3 linked regions of the Mus musculus genome follow. The protein of the gene in region 1 purifies or fractionates together with the protein of each later gene. This does not show direct contact. Links are inferred from orthologs where the notes say so. Each region holds a gene or a part of one and is shown in the gene's direction. Other genes may lie near its edges.

Region 1 (5,939 bases):
CTGTTAACCTGTTGCCCACTCCCCAGCTCTGCATTAAAGGCTAGCTGCCAAACCCTCATAGCTTTTATATGAGTGCTGGGGATGGTGAAGCTGGTCTTCCACTTGCATGCCAGTGTGTTTTGCCCACTAGGCCATTTCCTCAGCCTCTTAACGATCTTCCTATCAGTTAACATGAACACTGAAAGATAGATTCTTTTTTTTTTTTTTTTTTTTTAAATATTTATTTATTTATTATATGTAAGTACACTGTAGCTGTCTTCAGACACACCAGAAGAGGGCATCAGATTTCATTACAGATGGTTATGAGCCACCATGTGGTTGCTGGGATTTGAACTCATGACCTTTGGAAGAGCAGTCGGCACTCTTAACCGCTGAGCCATCTCACCAGCCCCCTTTTTTTTTTTTTTTTTTTGGCCATATTAGTTTCAAATGAAAACATTTTTCACAAGTTTGTTATTTTTTAAGAAATATCTTTGCTGCTCACAGTACTCTGTGAAAGGGATAACTGGATTCTAACCGGAGCTGAGTGCTCTCAGTTTGAGCTTGTTTCATGATGATTAAGTTGAAGAGTTTTGACAAAAGATCTGGAGGGGCCGGTTTAGCTAATCCTAAATTTAGCTCTGGGGGAAAAAATGTGTGGGCTGGATATAAAGAGTGTTTGACTCATTACACTTTAAGAAGATGGGGGGGGGCAGGGATTACAGCAGTGTTTGCCAAAAGTTTTCAGAATTTAGCCAATTCTCTGCACAAATCTCTTGCATGTAAGTGGTGTACAAACAGGATTGTATGGAAAAGTCGTGCCCTGCTCTGCAGATGTGTGCATGGCTTGGTTTTAATTATTCTCCTTTTTCTTATGTTACCGTTTCCCAATTACAATTTAAGGGGGGGGGCAGCCAGATTAGGTCTCTGAAAAATAGGCACAATCCTTGTTCCATAGAGGCCTGCTCCCGTGCAGCCTGTTTGCACACCAGAAGCCTGGGAATCTAAAAAGATAAAATCTAGGATCCTTCCAAACTCCAGCGTTTATCAGGGGCTGTGCTCAGGGTTACAGTGACTGCCAAGGGTAGTTTCCACAGACTTCAAATAGAAGAATGCTGTCAAGCAACGGAACTTTGAACATTATTCTGGTATTTCTATAGAAAAAAAAGGCTCAACAACAGAATGTCAGTTGTTGATTACTGGTGCCTTGTGACTAAGCATAATTGATGATTTCAAAAAGAAAAAAAAAAACTTTAAGAACAAACGCAAAATCTGGCGATCTGAGCTCCAGATTTTATAGAATTGACAGGCCTGTTACCTGACTGGCTGTCCTTTGGGTGTTAGTCCCACAGCTTTTGGGCAAGAATTGGAGGCGAACCATCCCAAAATGGATGTTCGAATAGTCTAGGACTGTAAGGTGAAAAGGAGTTGAAGGCATGATATTAGAGTATCCCAAAACAGCTACCTGGCTCTAAGGGTATGGCCCAGGGGAGAGAGTATAAGGGGCTTTAAAATAGAAGCGAAGCAAGAGAAATGCGACCTCATTTTAACTGACGTCATTTGCCGCGAGGAGCGGGCCCTAAAGTCAAGGCTTCCCCACAGGGTCAGCGGGAAGCTACCCACTGTACCCAAGAGACTGAGCTGTGTGTCTGCGAGCTGCACTATGATCTGAGGGTGCCCGGAAACCGGGGCAGAGGCCCAGCAGGTAGAACAGAGAGGTGGGCTGGGCTCGGTGGCCCTGGTTGACGGAGCGGTTGAGGGAGAAAGACCAAGACCCCCGAGGCTACATAGGGGGCCCGAAGCAGAGGCCGAACCAGGCCCAGCTTGCCCGAGCCAGCCCGAGCAGGGCGGGGCGCTTAGGTGGCCGCGAAGGGCGGGGGCTTATAGGCTCCGCCCCCGGAGCCCCGCCCCTCCCGAGCTTTTCTTCCTCTGTCAAAGAACGCTGCGCGCCACTGTTCGCTGGGAGGGCGGAGGAAGCGGACTGTTCCGGAGCTCTGCCTAGCCGGGCCCAACCTTTGCTCCAGAGATCATGGCTGCCGAGGATGTGGTGGCGACTGGCGCCGACCCGAGCGAGCTAGAGGGCGGCGGGCTGCTGCACGAGATTTTCACGTCTCCTCTCAACCTGCTCCTCCTGGGCCTCTGCATCTTCCTGCTCTACAAGATCGTTCGCGGGGACCAGCCCGGTGCCAGTGGCGACAACGACGACGACGAACCACCCCCGCTGCCCCGCCTCAAGCGGCGCGACTTCACCCCTGCCGAGCTGAGGCGTTTCGATGGCGTCCAGGACCCGCGCATTCTCATGGCCATCAACGGCAAGGTGTTCGACGTGACCAAAGGCCGCAAGTTCTACGGGCCTGGTACGGAGGCAGGGCCAGGGGGTCGTGGAGACAAAAGAGGGGACCCTGGCGTGGAAGCGGGGCGGGAGAGAGGCCGGGGGAGGTGGGGCGCCCCCGTGGGAGGGTCGGAGGGAAGGCGGGCAGCAATGGGAGCGGGCCGGGGGCACGAGGCTCTGGGTGGGTGGGGGTGCGTACGGGGGGATGGGATGCCCGAATGAGGCTGAGCCTTGGAAACCGCGGGTGGGAGGGACAGCGAGGTCCGAAGCCCCGGGATATTAGGGAACTTTTCGAAGGTAGTGGGCTTTGGGGCGGGGGTCCTGAAAAGAGGGGGAGACTTCGGATTTGAGGGGAAAAAATGAAGGTGTCTCCAGAGAGGCCCAGACACTTGAGAAGACGTGGAGGCCGATGACGCCGGAGGAGCCATGGTGGAATGTAAGGGTGTGTAAAGAGAGAAAGTGGAGAAGGGGATTAGTGTCAGGTAAAGCAGCATTGTTCCTGGCGGAGAATGTGTGTGTGTGTGTGTGTGTGTGTGTGTGTGTGTGTACACTGTGTGCATGCGCAGTGAATGTGTGTTTGGTGTACACCGTTTGTCTGGGGGGTGGCGCTTGGAATGTGACATGTGTTAGGTATGTCTTTGGTATGTGTATGTGCGTGCAGAGTGGGGTGGACTCAGGCTGGATGATGAATAAGCGACCAAGCTTGGTTGGATGCATTAAGAGCAGTGTGTGGTGGACTATGGTAACATGGTGAGATGGTCAGAAACACCATATTTAGTGTATGATAGAGTGGGGAGACTGGGAGGTGGAAAAAATAAAATGAAATGAAACGGGGGTGGGAGGGAGGAGTGGAAGGGTCCTGAGAAACAATAGGGTAAGGCTGTGAAGCCCGATGGGTGGGGGGATTTCAGGAAAAGCCAACCAAGGGGAAAACAAGAGATGGACAACTCCCCAGAAATGAGGCTTTTCCAAACTGGATTGCCTATCACAATCACCTGATGCTTATGAAAAATACAGATTCTTGGCCTGACCATCCATAGCCACACTTAGATCTCTGGGGCAGGGGAGAGGGCTAAAAAGATCTACATTTTACTCCTCTGCTGTAGGGAAATGGGGAATCAGCCAGATTTAGAAAGCCCTGCTTTCTAGAACATTTAGAGAGGAAGAAGAGGCTTTAGCTCTCCCAATATGGATTCCTCTAAGCACCAGGAACTCGGGGCTGGGGGGTGGGTATGTTCACATGCTCATTGGTCTGAGAGGGAAGACTAGCCAGCACTAATCCAAACCAGACATACCCACTCTGTTACGTCTCAGAGTCCAGCCAATCAAAAGCACATGTGCCAAAGGCTTTTTAGTGAACTCTCACTCTTCCTTTCTGCTTTCAGACATTTTAGAAAATTACGTTCTGTAGGCATGTGACTGCAAAATAATAGGAAAACTACATATTGTTTGTCACTGTAGTCACACATTATCCATAAACAATGGTGTAATTACCCATAATTATTAAGCTAAACCATAAGGTAATCAACACAAATGCACGAGGCCTCGTCATCTGGTTGTATTTGCAAAGTCATCACATGGGGATCCTCCGTGCTTTCAGAGAGCACAGCTGGAGTCAAGCTGTCTCCATTCTAACCAGGTAGGTTACAGTTTGCAGAGTCATCCTGCCGGATATCGATGTGTGTACTGGAACAGCTACAACTAGGAGTCAACCTGCACTCTACATTCTAGCCTCGCTGTTGTCCCTGACCAGCTGTGTGATCTGGTGCAACGCCCTATGGTCTCAAGGCCTTAGTTTTCCCTCTGGGAACATAAAAAGACAAGCACGCCCCCAGTGTGAGGAGGCCAAGGAACACTGATAGTATCATAGTGGAAATATTTTCTGTTACAGAGTACTCTTAGAAGTGAAGCCATTTGAGTGTCTAGTACTCTGTACAGCACAGTCGTAGATGCTAGCGAGTAGCAGTGAGTGAAAAACACAAAGCTCTGCTCACCAAGCATCTAGTTAATATGCTTTGTAGTGAACAAAATATACTCTCCAAAGACTATTAATATTTGCCTTAGATCTTGTTTAAGTATGCATTACCAGTCCAGGGACTGTAATTTCTAAAATGGTAAGAGTCCAAACCAAGACTTTGACTTTGTTTCCAAGCACTAGGTGATACTATTTCCATTAGCAGTATATATTTTGTGAAAAGCATATGAATTTTGTTCTTTTTAAACCTTCTCTAGTGGCAGCATGCAATGAGGACTGAAACCAACCCCTATTTTAGAATCTTAGTTGCATTTACAAGATGATCCTAAGGGTTTGAAGTATATCTCAGCACTAGGGTGCTTTCCTAGAATATGCAAAGCCCCAGTCCTACAAAAAATGGATCTTAATATGTTAGAAAGAAAAACAGTTTGGTCGACTAAAGTTTCAGATAACCACACTGTAATGAAATACCAGCCATTCCTAGTTGGTATGACGATTTTAATGTCAGAGTTGCTATCTAGCCTCCTTTTGGGAAAACGAGGCATTGCTTAAAGTACTCCGAATTCCTTTCATTTGTTTGTGCAATATTTAACTCTAAATAACCACTTCAGGTGGATTCAGATTGATCCACTGTCCTCAGACAAAAGCTTGCTATGATGTTATACATAGTAGCATTTTTCAGGTTTTAGGAGATTATTTGAAGGCGTTGATTGCAGCCCTTTTCAGTGAAAATTTTAGTGTTTTCACTGCTGTTTACACTCATTTGTATGCTTACACTTAATAATAGTACCAAAACTGATCTCCCTTGTTGTGAGTTCTGATTTAAATAAGACAGTAAAGGTTATATAACGCAGAGAGGCTTTGGAACCACTGGTATTTGTAAAATGATTGTTCTTGCAGATGCCTTAGGGTTCATGACTTGCAACTAAAGATCATTTAAAACATATCAGAATATGTTGATAAGAAAATGTTTTCATTTACACATTAGTGGTTAGAAACTGTAACTTTGACTGTCTTGGCTCAAGCACCCAGAATAGAGCCAACCTGTAGATACAAAGTCTTTGAGCTGAATTCTAACCCATGGAGTGTATAATCAAACAATCCCCATTAAGGCCACCGTCAAAAGAACTACTTGAGCTTATATTAGCTATGTGCAGGACATAGATTTCAAATGCTACACATCTTTATTTCATTTTACTTATCAAAGTGACAGTAAGTCTGTCAATGCCCTTATGTAATGATCAAAGTGTATTCGTGCAGCTCAATAATGGAATGTGAAGCCAGGAAGTGGTGGACTCCTTTAATCCCAGCACTCAGGAGGCAGAGGCAAATGGATCTCTGTGAGTTCTCTGTGGCTATTCTGGTCTACAAGAGTGAGTTCCAGGACAGCCAGGGCTACACAGAGAAATCCTGTCTCAAAACAAACAAACAAACAAACAAATTAAAAGGAGGCTTTTGGTGTTGAAAGCAAGGAAGCCGTCTTCTGTTTACGTGAGCCAAGGAAAAGTGTATTATCTAATAAAGAATCTGTCTTTGGTTTCATTTTGTCTTTAAAGAGGGGCCATATGGGGTCTTTGCCGGAAGAGATGCATCCAGGGGCCTTGCCACATTTTGCCTGGACAAAGAAGCACTGAAGGATGAGTATGACGACCT
Region 2 (5,877 bases), about 37 Mb from region 1:
CACTGGGCCGGGCGGGAATCGCGCATTTTGCTGCGAGCAGTGCCGTTCGGGCATCTGGGGGACCTGAGAGCGCCCACAGCACGCAGTGGACCTGGTGGGGGGAGGTTCGTTGGGCTGGCCAGTCGGAAGCCCTGGGGCCCCCAGCGTGGGCGACAGTGGGCTCACCGCCCACCCTGAGGCGAGTGATGAGTGCTTCGCCTGACTCCACCCGCCAAAGTGGGACGGGAAGGGCCCCACGTGCAGCAGCCTTCCCCAAATCCTGTCCGCCTGAGAATCCAGAAGCAGGAGAGGGGCGGGGCCAGAGCTCCAGCAGAGGCTGCGGGGCAGGGGGGGGAGGTGTTAGTAGAGGCAGGCGAGGGGAGGCCTTGGCTGCACCGAACCCTGCAGTGCGGGGGTGGCAACAGGTTCCCATTTGTCCAGTTTGCTGGCACTGCAACGAGGCATGCGTTGGGCACTGAGCACTGACTTTGGAGACGGAGCATCAGTCATCCTCTCCTATCCTATGCTAGAATTGGGGCCTTGCCAGCAGGCGCCTGGGACTAGGTGTAGGGAAAATATTCTTCAGGTGTGGACAGGAGTGGAACGGGTTATTGATGCCTAGGCTCCCCGTACCTTCATGGAGAGGTGCCTCTCTCCCATGCTCATCCTCCAGGGCAGTTCCTATCACTTCCTCTAGAAAGCCTACTCCGGAGAGCACAGCTAGATTTCTGGGAATACCAGTATTTCCCTCTTGTTGGAGATCCTCCCTCCAAGTACACAACCTCCAGGATTGGGAGGGTAAGATACTGTCTCTTCAGCTGTCTGCATCCATGGCCTCATGCCACCACTAACTTGTCCACAACATAATCAAGCCCCAGTCAGCTCTTGCCAACACTTGGCGTTCTCATTTTGAGAACATTCTACTAATGTAGTGACTGGGAAGTATTTCCCTATTTTTTTGAATTGGCTTTCCTTCCATGCCTGAGCTTCAACCTTTCCCCATATATTCTTACCCCATCACATTCCTTCCTTTGGGCAGAGTATGCAGTCCTTGAGTTCCTTACCCATTTATCTACGGGGTCTTAACCCTTTGATTATTTTGTGCGAGCTTTATCTTATCTGTTGTGTGTTTTCCTTTAAAACTGTTATTTGCTTTTCTTGGGCTTTTAGCAGAGAAAGGACACATGGCCAGATGGGGCTTTTTTAGAAGCCTCCCCTGCCTCTCCTTTCATTGTCAGCACTTATCACCCCGATATCTGGTCCAGTGCCTTTGCTTATTGTTAGTGTGTCCTGCTGGACTAGAACACCCAGGCAAGGAGAGCCCTTGTGTGTCTTTCCTGTTCATCACCTGTCCAGTGGGCTGGCTGGAGGCCACCAGCCTTAGTGGACTGAATGGTGCTCTGGAATGGGGCAGGGTGGAGACACGCTGAAGTTTCAAAAACTGGGACAGTGACTTGTATAGTCATGACCACTAGAAAAGCCAGAAGGAGAATGGGGATGGGGACATATTGCAGTAAAACGACTTCTTTCCACGTGGATCCATCCAGGGGCTTATGGGAAAGAGGCTTTGGGGAGGCGCCCCTCTTCACCTGATAAGAGCACAGTGTCTCAGTTTAGAGTTGGGTGCTCGGAATTCTTGTGTACCTTTAGCTAGGCCTGTACAAATGAAGCCCAGATGGAAATAGCACACCCAGGAGCTGCCTTGTGCCTTCAGTTTTTTAGTGGCATCTCACAGTAAAATACATTAGAAGGCTCTGATTGGCCCATTATACAGATGGGGGCCATCTAGTTCCAGGTAGTTCAGCATTATTGAGTTGTTTGAGACAGTTTCTGGTTCTGGGGCTCTGGGCTTTTGTCCCCACCCCTCTTCCTGCTTCCAGGGACCAGACTGGCGCCAAGCAGGGGCAACTGCAACATGTCCCCTGCTGGGCCCCCGACCTGCCCTTGGCCTCTGCCCTGACCCTGTCCCGCCTGGGTGGAAGCCCTAGCTCAGCCTGCGGCTTGCAACTCCCACCAGGCTTTTCCTTAGCCCTGGTTGGCTCTCCTGCTCCCTGAGCCCGCCCCACCGCCCCGCCCCGTCCCGCCCCTTTGAGCTGCTACTTAGTCGGTCCGAAGGCAGAGCCTTCCAAGGTGGAATCTGGATTCTGCTGCCAGGAAGCGGCCGGCGCACGAGTGGCGCGAGGCTTGGCTTCCACGTGCGAGCCTGCTCCACCACCCCGCCCTCTCCGAGCGCCCAAGCCTGGGGGATCCGTCTCCATGAACGATACCTACGCCCTGCCGTGGCACTAGCTGTGGCCAGGACGTCCGGGTGCAGTCGCCTGCCTCTGGATCTCGCTCCAGGTCTCTCCTTTTGTTCTCTCCTGGGGTGGGTAGGAGTGGGGCCGAGTCAGCTCTTACGGGACTCGCCGAGGCCCACAACCTCGGTGACCCTCTTGTTCTCTGGGTCTTCCGGGCTTTAGAGGAGAGCCGGGCCTTGAACCCAACTTCTCCACACATCCAAAATTGAACTTGGGGAGTGATGGAGATCAGAGCAAATGAGAAAGTCAGAAAAGGGGTGTGGAGGGAACTGGTTTTAGTCCTCCTAGCACTTCAGAGACCGGTAGACGCCCAGCTATCTTCTGGGGTATGTCTCACGAAAACTCCATGTAAGCGGGGCAGGGAGCAGCGCCCAAGTGGCGGCAGCCTCGGGTCTTTTTCCAGGGGCGCCTTCCTTGGTGTTCTCACTGTGGGTGGAGCGCGAGGAGAGAAGCAGGCGGTAGAGGAATGTCCCTGCGGGGACACTGAAAGCCTGCCCTCAGGACAGGGGTTGACTTCCCGCCTCAGTAGCCTGATCCACGCTGCAGGAGTAGAGACAAACTTGCCCTCACTCCGCGCCTTGCCTCTCTCCACAGCACCCACTGCCCGACGTGCAGGACGCTGCGCGACCATGGAGAGTCTGAGTCGGTCATGCCTGTGGCTGCGTCAGGAGCTGTCGTCCCCGCGCCCACAGCTTCTGCTGCTGGACTGCCGCAGCCGGGAGCTGTATGAGTCGGCGCGCATCTGCGGGGCGCTGAGCGTGGCCCTGCCCTCGCTGATGCTGCGCCGCCTGCGGAGGGGGAGCATGTCGGTGCGGTCGCTCTTGCCTGGGCCACCACTGCAGCCTCCCCCACCGGCCCCTGTGCTCCTGTACGACCAGGGTAGCAGTGGCCAGTGCCATCGTGAAGCAGCGGAGGCTGAAGCGAAGGCCGAACCTAAGGCTGAAGCGGAGGCCGAACCTAAGGCTGAAGCGGAGGCCGAACCTAAGGCTGAAGCGGAGAACGAAGCGGAGGCTAAAGCGGAGGCCAAAGCGGAGGCCAAAGCGGAGGCTAAAGCGGAGGCCAAAGCGGAGGCCAAAGCGGAGGCCAAAGCGGAGGCTAAAGCGGAGGCCAAAGCGGAGGCCAAAGAAGAGTGGGATGCTGACTCGGTGCTGGGCGTCCTGCTCCAGAAGCTGCGGGAAGAAGGCTACCCAGCATACTACCTACAGGGTAAGTGAGGGTCAGTGGCCTGAGAGAGCACTCTGGAGAGGCCTCAGGTCAGGAGAAAAGATCCTTCTTTCCAAGGGGATTTCATAATTACTTTATCCTTCAGCAAACTCAATCTTATTTTGTCTAAAATATAGGGTAAGCGCCTCCCTCCTGATAACCTGCCCAACAGCTTTTGGGGAGGCAGAGCTGACCGTGACCTTGGGCAAGTCCTTCATCCCTCCAAGCCCATTTATAAGTCTGGATAATGGGGAGAATTGACCTGAAACAACCTGGTTCACAGGATAATGCCCCAAGACTAAGGGCTGCATTGGGCACTTATCAGCCAAAGAAACAGTCACTAATGCTGAGTGAGGGTGGATGGCTGTCTATAGCACAGCACATGTGGTTTAAACAAATCTGCTGGCTTATGCGTTCCCTTTGGCAATATCTGCAACCCCCACCCCGGAGAGCTGTGTGGTGTCAGCTCCCTAGCCCCAGCTAGGGATACTTGGCTGCCCAGAGGCTATATTAACTAGTAAGACCTCGCCCTTCTTTCCTGACAGGTGGCTTCAGCAAGTTCCAGGCCGAGTGTCCTCACCTGTGTGAAACCAGCTTCAGTGGTCGTGCCGGCTCAGGCCTGGGCTCAATGTCTAGCCCAGTGCCTGTGGTGGGGCTAGGTGGCCTGTGCTTGAGCTCTGATTTCTCTGATGCAGAGTCTGAGGCTGACCGTGACACCTTGAGCTGTGGCCTAGATTCTGAGAACACCACATCCCCTCCAGCTGGGCTGCTACCACCCTTCCCAGTCCAGATCCTGCCCAATCTCTACCTAGGCAGTGCTCGAGATTCAGCCAATTTGGAGAGCCTGGCCAAGCTTGGCATCCGCTATATCCTCAATGTCACCCCCAACCTTCCTAACCTCTTTGAGAAGAATGGTGACTTCCACTACAAGCAGATCCCCATCTCTGACCATTGGAGCCAGAATCTGTCCCAGTTCTTTCCGGAGGCCATTGCATTCATTGGTAAGTCCTCCCTACTTTGTCCCCCTGTCCCTCCCCCTCCACAATCTCCACCCACCAGACTGATTCTTGGCCTCTCGTCCTCCTGACTCCATTCCCAGAGCCCACGTGACACTTGGGGAGGTGGGGGTAGAGCTCAGGTCAACTGCCAGTGAGAGAGATCCTTCAGATATGGTCTCGGCAGGGTAGGGAGGCAGTGATGGTGATCCCAGAAATTCGTATAGCTTTGGTCTCACTCATAGTGACCCTTAGGGGGTGTTTCTGTTCTGTCCTGTTTTACCTAGATGAGGCCTTGTCGCAGAACTGTGGGGTGCTCGTCCACTGTCTGGCAGGGGTCAGCCGCTCTGTCACTGTCACCGTGGCCTACCTCATGCAGAAGCTTCACCTCTCACTCAACGATGCCTACGACTTGGTCAAGCGGAAGAAGTCTAACATCTCACCTAACTTCAACTTTATGGGGCAGCTGCTAGACTTTGAACGCAGCCTGCGCCTGGGGGGGAAGCGCTCCGGGGGGCGGGGCAGTGGGGGACCAGAGTCCACCGTCTCAGACCCACCTTCCTTCTTTACTACCCCTACCAGTGATGGGGTCTTTGAGCTGGACCCCACATAAAGCCGCATGGAGCTGATAGGCTGGTCCCTACTTATGACCCCTAGTATAAGCAGGGATGGGATGCAGCCATAAGCAGGGAGAGGGGAAAGGGGAAGGGGGGAGGGAAAGCGCAATACCTCATGTGGGGATGGTGGAGCAAGGCAGGAACAGAGTAGAAACCTGCCCCACCCACTCAAGGCCAGCCCCAGATTCTATTTCACGTGCCTACTGGTGGGCCCGGGCTTCGGGCCTGACCCTCACCGCTCTAGAGCGGGGCCATGCTCCAGAACCTGCCTCGTCTGTGACTGTTACTTTCTTTTTTCAGGGTGGGAGTGGGGCTTCCTATCCAAGAGACCATTCCAGATTGCTGCCTGGGCCCTGGCCCTTCTTGCTGTTTCATTTTCAGGAAGAGTGTATCATTCTTTGCCACAGGAACCTGCTCTTGGCTCCATACCTGTCCCCGAATGCCCACCTGTGGGAGCAGACCTGGCCACTTTGACTCGTGTAGACTCCTTCCTGCTTCTCTCACTAGGGCTTAGACTTCTTGGAACTGTAGGGTGTGAACCCAGAGACACAATGGCTGCTCTCCGCATCCACAGGGACAGCCTCTCTGGGTGGCTTTTTGCTGGGCAGTGTCACATGGGAGGGCATGGGCCTGGGAGCCAATGGGCGAGATCCCAGCCACACATCTGGTGCCCTGACTGTTTCTTTCCTCCTCCCCCAGATGTCTTGACAGGATCACTGAGACTCTTTGTGACTGAGGGTGGTCAAACTGCCACCGGAGGAGATAGGGTCTCAGAGCTAGAGCTGA
Region 3 (6,016 bases), on another chromosome or scaffold:
AAACAAAAAGACAAAAGAAATAGCTCCTAATTTAAAAGGTATAATGAAGCTGGAGATGGGTGGGTTCTCAGTAATAGTTTAAGAAGCATCTCAGCGAGTGAAGATTTCTTACAAACCATCGAAACTAACTCACTCTCAAGACCATTAGGCTGTAGATTTCTTACAAGCCAGTAAGAAAAGCCTAGAATAGAAAAATTGGACAAGCTCCATGAACAGACAATTAAAAGGAATCTACATGATCAGTGCAAAATGTTTAATGAATCTGTGATAAAATAAGTTGTATTTTCTACCAATTAATTTGACAGGGCCTGATTAGTGTGTACAAAGAAATGATCAATAGTAATGTAGCCAGTGAGAAAAAAAAAACTGGGTGGAAACATGAGTACTGTTGCTTCAAGTAGGATCAAATCAAGTAAGAGAGATTGGGGATGAAGACATTGAGAAAGAATTAAGACTTAGAGACTGATGTCTAACCACTTATATTTTTGCTGACTGTTCAACACCAAGCTTCTAGAAAATTTTAGATAAGTAATAACTTGTGTTGGATGAATAAGCTATCTCTGATAAATAAGGCTCATCAATTCCTGAAGGTCTACTCAGGTTAACACTAACTGACTTGAAGGTATATGCCTAGTCTCTTTGTATTTGCTAACTTTGTTAAGGTTTAGCTGTTTGGATAAACTGAAACATAAAAGAAACTTGTAATATTCTATAATGACACACCATGAACAGACCAGAAGACTGACGTTCCCAGTCTCTTTGTGGACAGTATAGTTTAGAGCCATCATGTCCTCATTTTTATTAAAATTTCACATTTATTAATGTATGTATGTGAATTTGTATAGAGGTCAGAGTACAATTCAATCTCTTCTTTCACCACGTTGAGTTCTGGGAATTAAATTCAGGCCATCAGGTTTGGTGGCAAGTGTCCTTACCTGCTGAGCCATCTCCATTGCTCCCAAAACATTTTTAGTATATGGATCCCCCAAATACCTGAGAGTCACTTTTTTGCTCTTCTGTACAATTTTCTCATCTCAAGAACTTCCTTCCAACTCCACCTACAGAAAATTTGCATATCTATGAGGTCCAGTTCAAGTCTTTGTCAGTTTAGACAGAAAAGTTCTGCCTCAACTCCTCTACTCCTTCAGTACTGACATATTTTAACACCTCTCTGCAGAAGTCGATTTTTTGGCTTTCTTAAATTCAAGGCCATCTTGGGTAACACAAGCCAGAACTCAACCTAAGTAAATTTAGAATTTTTTTTTAAATTATGTGTACTGCCTGTGCCAAGCTGGCTTCAAATTTTCATTTTGAACATGCTCTTTATAAGGCAAATAAGGAAAGCAATTTCTCTTCTTTAAAATTAGGGAGAGAGAATTGGCGGTTACTAAATTGACCCAAACATCAAATCCTTACTGCCTTTCTCTTGGGGTGGCAGGAACAAAGCTCGTTTCACATGTAGAAAAACCTGCTGTTTCTTTCCACATTATTCAAAGCTTTGGGTCACCAAATACAACCCGAGGCGATCAGGATTCTCAAGGATCTAGCCAAATCCTTAGCCACTTCAATCTTACAGCGTTATCAGCATATTGAAAAACGAGTGGGTTATGAAAAGGCTATTTTAAATCTGCACATGGCATCACCCTTTTCCTCAACTCTGTCGCTTAGGTATGTCTGATTTTAACGACTAAAATCAGGAAACAGCACGGGCACATGGGAAAGTGACTCCATGTGGCTTGATTGTGAATCTAGGTAGTGTTTTGTTAGGTAAAGAGGTCTCAGGCTCCTGAGCTCAGGGCGATGACTCCGCAGGAAAGGCGGTGTCTGCTACCCAGAGGGATTTCACTCACTGCGCAAGCACACCGCCCGACCTCTCACCATTTGTGATGAAGGCCATAGGTCCCAGGCGGGGTTGGGACAGAGTTCCTAACTCAATGGGTCGGAAAGCCGTCTTCTGGATGTCCAACACACCCGCCCTGAGGGACTAGGGCGACCCACGCGAGAACGCGTGCCAGATCCGTCCGCCCTCCGCGGCGCGCGCCCGCCCGTTTGGTGACGGCCCGCCTTCCTCCTTCATACCCAATCAGCAACCACTTCCTGCCTCGCTATTGACCAATCACCACGCTCCACGAAGAATAGCCCTAGGGGGCGTATGGGAAGGCGCTTCGAGCGATGGCTGTATCTACCAATAAATTCTTAGATCTTGCGCAAAGGGGCGGGATCTGACGTTCGTTTTAGCCACTCAGGAACGAGGGGCGGACGCGGGGTTGGGCTTCGTGCGGTGGGGCTCGCTCGCGCGGCGGCCGTAGCCGAGGCCTCTTAGTTCTGCGGCACGTGACGGTCGGGCCGCCTCTGCCGCTGTCTCCACTGCAGCACGGGGCCGGGTGTGCGGGTGGGAGAAGGTGAGGGAGCCGCCAGTGGTCCCCGGGAGGCTCGAGGTGAGACGGGAAGCGTGTGCGGGGATCTCAGGCCCGGGACGAGCCTTGGGGGACTGGGCGAGCGGCGCCGTGGCGGAGGGGGTCGGGCGTGGCTGTAGGCTCGACGACTGAGGGGTCGGGCGGGCTTTCGAATGGCGCAGGCCTGGGCGGACGCGCAGGGCAGTGAGGAGAGCGGCCGGGTTAGAGAGGCTAGCCTGGGCAGCGCCGCCGGGGTCGGGAGGCGTGGCAGGTGTCCTGGGGTTTCCCTTGACCTCTGAGAAAGCTAACAACTTCCTACGGCTTTGCTTCTAGAGCTTTCTTAGGCCCTGGCCAGGCCCACCCAGAGGTGGGCTGAGTAATCCGGTACAGGTGTGGTATTAGAATTCGGCCTAGTAGGTAGCCCAAATAGCAGGGAAAGGTGAAGTAAATCCAGAGATAAGCGTTACAGATTAGAAAATAACTTGCCCAAAGGGAAGACTGGACCATAGCATCCTGATGAGGGAGTAGAATGTACTAGAACGTGTACCGCTTGAGAAACTTAAGGCTTAACTATTAAAGCACCTGCCTATTCGGTGGTGGATAGATAGTAATCCAGTGTGGGTGTTCACAGGACCTTAAGAGCAGGAGATACAAGCGAAAGTTCAGTTAGTGAGGGGAGGAAACTGAGGCCTAGAAGTTTGAAATGACTGGCCCAAGGTCATACAGGTAGTTCTAGTCATCCAGTTGGGATTGTAACTGAGCACTAGACCGTTTGGGTTAAAAGTCCTGGTTCAAGCACCTAACTGCAATTAATCGGGGGAGTGGGAATTTGGGAGATTTTTTTTTTCTACTTTAGGGCTCAGTCCCCAGGAGTAGACAGAATGACTGATGGGCCTTGTATTGAATTCCGAGGGAATGGGAATGAGAAATTGGATGTGTAGTAAAGGTTCAGTGGGTAGGAATCGAACTGGCTTCTTGAAATCCGAATGCCTTGGTCATTACACTGATACACTAATGTTTATATTGAAGGCCTGTGTGCCAAGACCTGAGGACACATTGATGACACTTTGTGTATTAACTGCTGGTCATGACACTAGTGATTGCATTGCTAGTTGTGTGAAGTTAAACCAAACTGAATACTAAAAGCTTGGCAAAGTTGAGCTACAGTCTCTTTACCCTTCAGAAATGGAAGAATCTGCCTGTTTTTTAAAAATAATTTGCCCTCCCACCCCTTTAAAGGGGGACAAGTTGGGTTACCTTAAAAATCTTTGTATATTTTCCAGTAACCTTTGAAAGGGCATGAACAGAATCAATTCTCATGTTGTACTTATACTGTAATTAAGCTTACAGGCCAGGCAGGGGTACACTACAGGTGAGCCAGGCCCTGAAGAACTGTATATAGTAGTGAGCCATTCACAATAGGAGTTTACCGAACTGTCTGTGAATGGGTGTCACCTCCTTGCTATCTTAACTCAACAGTGCAATTAACTCCTTAATCTTTCAAGAGCCACAAGGCATGTGCATCTTGACAACACACCTTGCATCCTTGTCCTGCAGAGGTCACTTGCCCAGTAAGAGAACTTTGAGGGAGTAGAGTGGCAGTTGCTAAGAATAACTGCAGAAGACTGTCCAGCATGATAACTTTAATTCCTATCCTTTAAAAATGGGAATGAAAGAAAGAAAGAAAGAAAGAAATGGGGATGAGTGTGCTACTTGCTTTGCCTTTGAGAGGGCAGATACTAAGAAACTGTTTGGGAAAGTGTAAGGAAATGGACAAATAGTATTGGCAGCTCATAAAAAGTCCTAAGAAGTAATTAAAGTGCCAAAGATAGTTGTAGTCTGTATAGCTTACTGTAAAACTCATTAGGAAAATGCTTGTTAAATGCTTTGTTATTGCTACAAATGCTAGGAAAGAATTTTTAGGCTTATTTAATTTTCTGTGTATGTGTGTTTTGCCTGCATGTATGTCTGTGTACCATGTGTGTGAGACCCATCATATTGGTGCTGGGAATCAAACCTGGGTCCTCTGGAAGAGCAGCAACTATGTCTTCAGCCCTGAAATTTTTCTTTTTTCTTTTTTTTTTTTTTTAAGGAATCTAGACAATTTTTATATTGTATTCTTGTCTTTAAAAAAAATCATTTTAAGATTTATTTAGGGCTGGAGAGATATCTCATCGGTTGGGGGCACTGGCTGTTCTTCCAGAGGTCCTGAGTTCAATTCCCAGGAACCACATGGTGGCTCACAGTCATCTCTAATGAGAGCCGATGCCCTCTTCCGGTGTGTCTGAGGACAGTGTACTCATATACATGAAATAAATCTTTAATATGTGTGTGTGTACTATGTACATATATATATATATTTAAAAATATGTGTATGTTGGTGTGAATATATATGCAATATATTATTCATGGGGGCCAGTAAAGGGCATTATATTCTCTAGAGTTGGAATTACAAACAGTTGTAAGCTGCCCAACTGGGAATTCAACTCTTAATCACTGAGCCATCTCTCCATCCTGCGTATTCACATCTTAAAGTGAATTAATAGGAAAAAGTTTCTTTTAAAAAAAATCACTTATTAGCTGGGTGGTGTGGTGGTGGCTCACCTTTGATCCCAGCATGAGGGAAGCAGAGGCAGATTTATCCCTGACTTCAAGACCACCCTGGTCTACAGAGTGAGTTCCAGGACAGCCAGGGCTACAACAGAGAAACCCTGTATCAAACAAAACAAAACGAAACAAAAACAAAAAACCCACCACCACCAAATTACTCCTATGTTTCTGTTAATGAAAACAAATCCAAGAAGGTGGTATATAATTCTTGGCCTAGGCCCAGGGTTCCATTCCCAACACATGAAGCAGAAACCCCCAAATATGACATGTGAGTAAGGTATAGGTCTCATTTATAGAGCAGGTCACACTGTTTCTCAGGATGTTGTTCTGTCTTTGTTATCCTACCTCATCCCCCAAATACTGAGGATGGACTCTAGAGCCTTGAACTTAGCAATTAGGAAAACACCACTACTTAACTATCTCCTCACTGTAAGGTGATCTTGAATTTCTGAGTTCACTTAGTCATCCAAATTCAGCCTCCCAAGTAACTGGGACTGCAGGGGTATGTAATCATGCATACTTTTTAAAAATTATTTTTTAATAGATGAGCATATAAAGTTGTATTTTTCCCCATTAAATGTAATTCTCAGAAGATACTTTATCTTTTGTTTGTGCATGCATGTGCCATGGCATTTGAACTTGTATGGAAGTTGGTGTGATATTTCTGGAATTTTTTTTTTCAGTATGGGTATTAGGGATTGGACTCAACCTGTTAGGCTTCTTGACAAGTGCCTTTACCCTCTATGCCTTCTCTCTGGCCTCTAATCATGCATTTCTATGTGTATGTACACATGAGTACAGAATCCCCCAGAGCTAGAGTTAAAGGCACTGGTAAAGGATTGTAAGCCACTTAATGTGGGTATCAGGTCCTCTGCAAGAACAGTAAGCACTTTTAATTTCTGAGCCATCTCTCTAGCCCATGTTTTAAATGTTTGACAAGGTAGTAGTAAAATCTGAAGGCGCGCGCACATACACACAAAAATAGTGGAAAGATGATAAGAGAGTCAGGG

Evidence for each region. Proteins that work in one complex are often made in the same cells at the same time.
Region 2: the proteins of Pgrmc1 (region 1) and Dusp9 purify together in Homo sapiens (affinity purification with mass spectrometry; 3 studies listed by BioGRID). This does not show direct contact. The link is inferred for Mus musculus from reciprocal best matches to the Homo sapiens genes PGRMC1 and DUSP9.
Region 3: the proteins of Pgrmc1 (region 1) and Canx purify together in Homo sapiens (affinity purification with mass spectrometry; 3 studies listed by BioGRID and IntAct, with this or other methods). This does not show direct contact. The link is inferred for Mus musculus from reciprocal best matches to the Homo sapiens genes PGRMC1 and CANX.

Annotation. Positions count from the first base shown.
Region 1 is NC_000086.7:36,596,279-36,602,217, forward strand, and holds the start of Pgrmc1 (membrane-associated progesterone receptor component 1), read left to right. Parts: upstream 1-1,914; 5' UTR 1,915-2,008; coding exon 2,009-2,336; intron 2,337-5,842; coding exon 5,843-5,939. UniProt on the Homo sapiens protein: Component of a progesterone-binding protein complex. Binds progesterone. Has many reported cellular functions (heme homeostasis, interaction with CYPs). Required for the maintenance of uterine histoarchitecture and normal female reproductive lifespan.
Region 2 is NC_000086.7:73,637,323-73,643,199, forward strand, and holds the start of Dusp9 (dual specificity protein phosphatase 9), read left to right. Parts: upstream 1-2,118; 5' UTR 2,119-2,319; intron 2,320-2,870; 5' UTR 2,871-2,905; coding exon 2,906-3,482; intron 3,483-4,024; coding exon 4,025-4,480; intron 4,481-4,761; coding exon 4,762-5,087; 3' UTR 5,088-5,877. UniProt on the Homo sapiens protein: Inactivates MAP kinases. Has a specificity for the ERK family.
Region 3 is NC_000077.6:50,321,915-50,327,930, reverse strand, and holds the start of Canx (calnexin precursor), read left to right. Parts: upstream 1-2,257; 5' UTR 2,258-2,438; intron 2,439-6,016. UniProt on the Homo sapiens protein: Calcium-binding protein that interacts with newly synthesized monoglucosylated glycoproteins in the endoplasmic reticulum. It may act in assisting protein assembly and/or in the retention within the ER of unassembled protein subunits.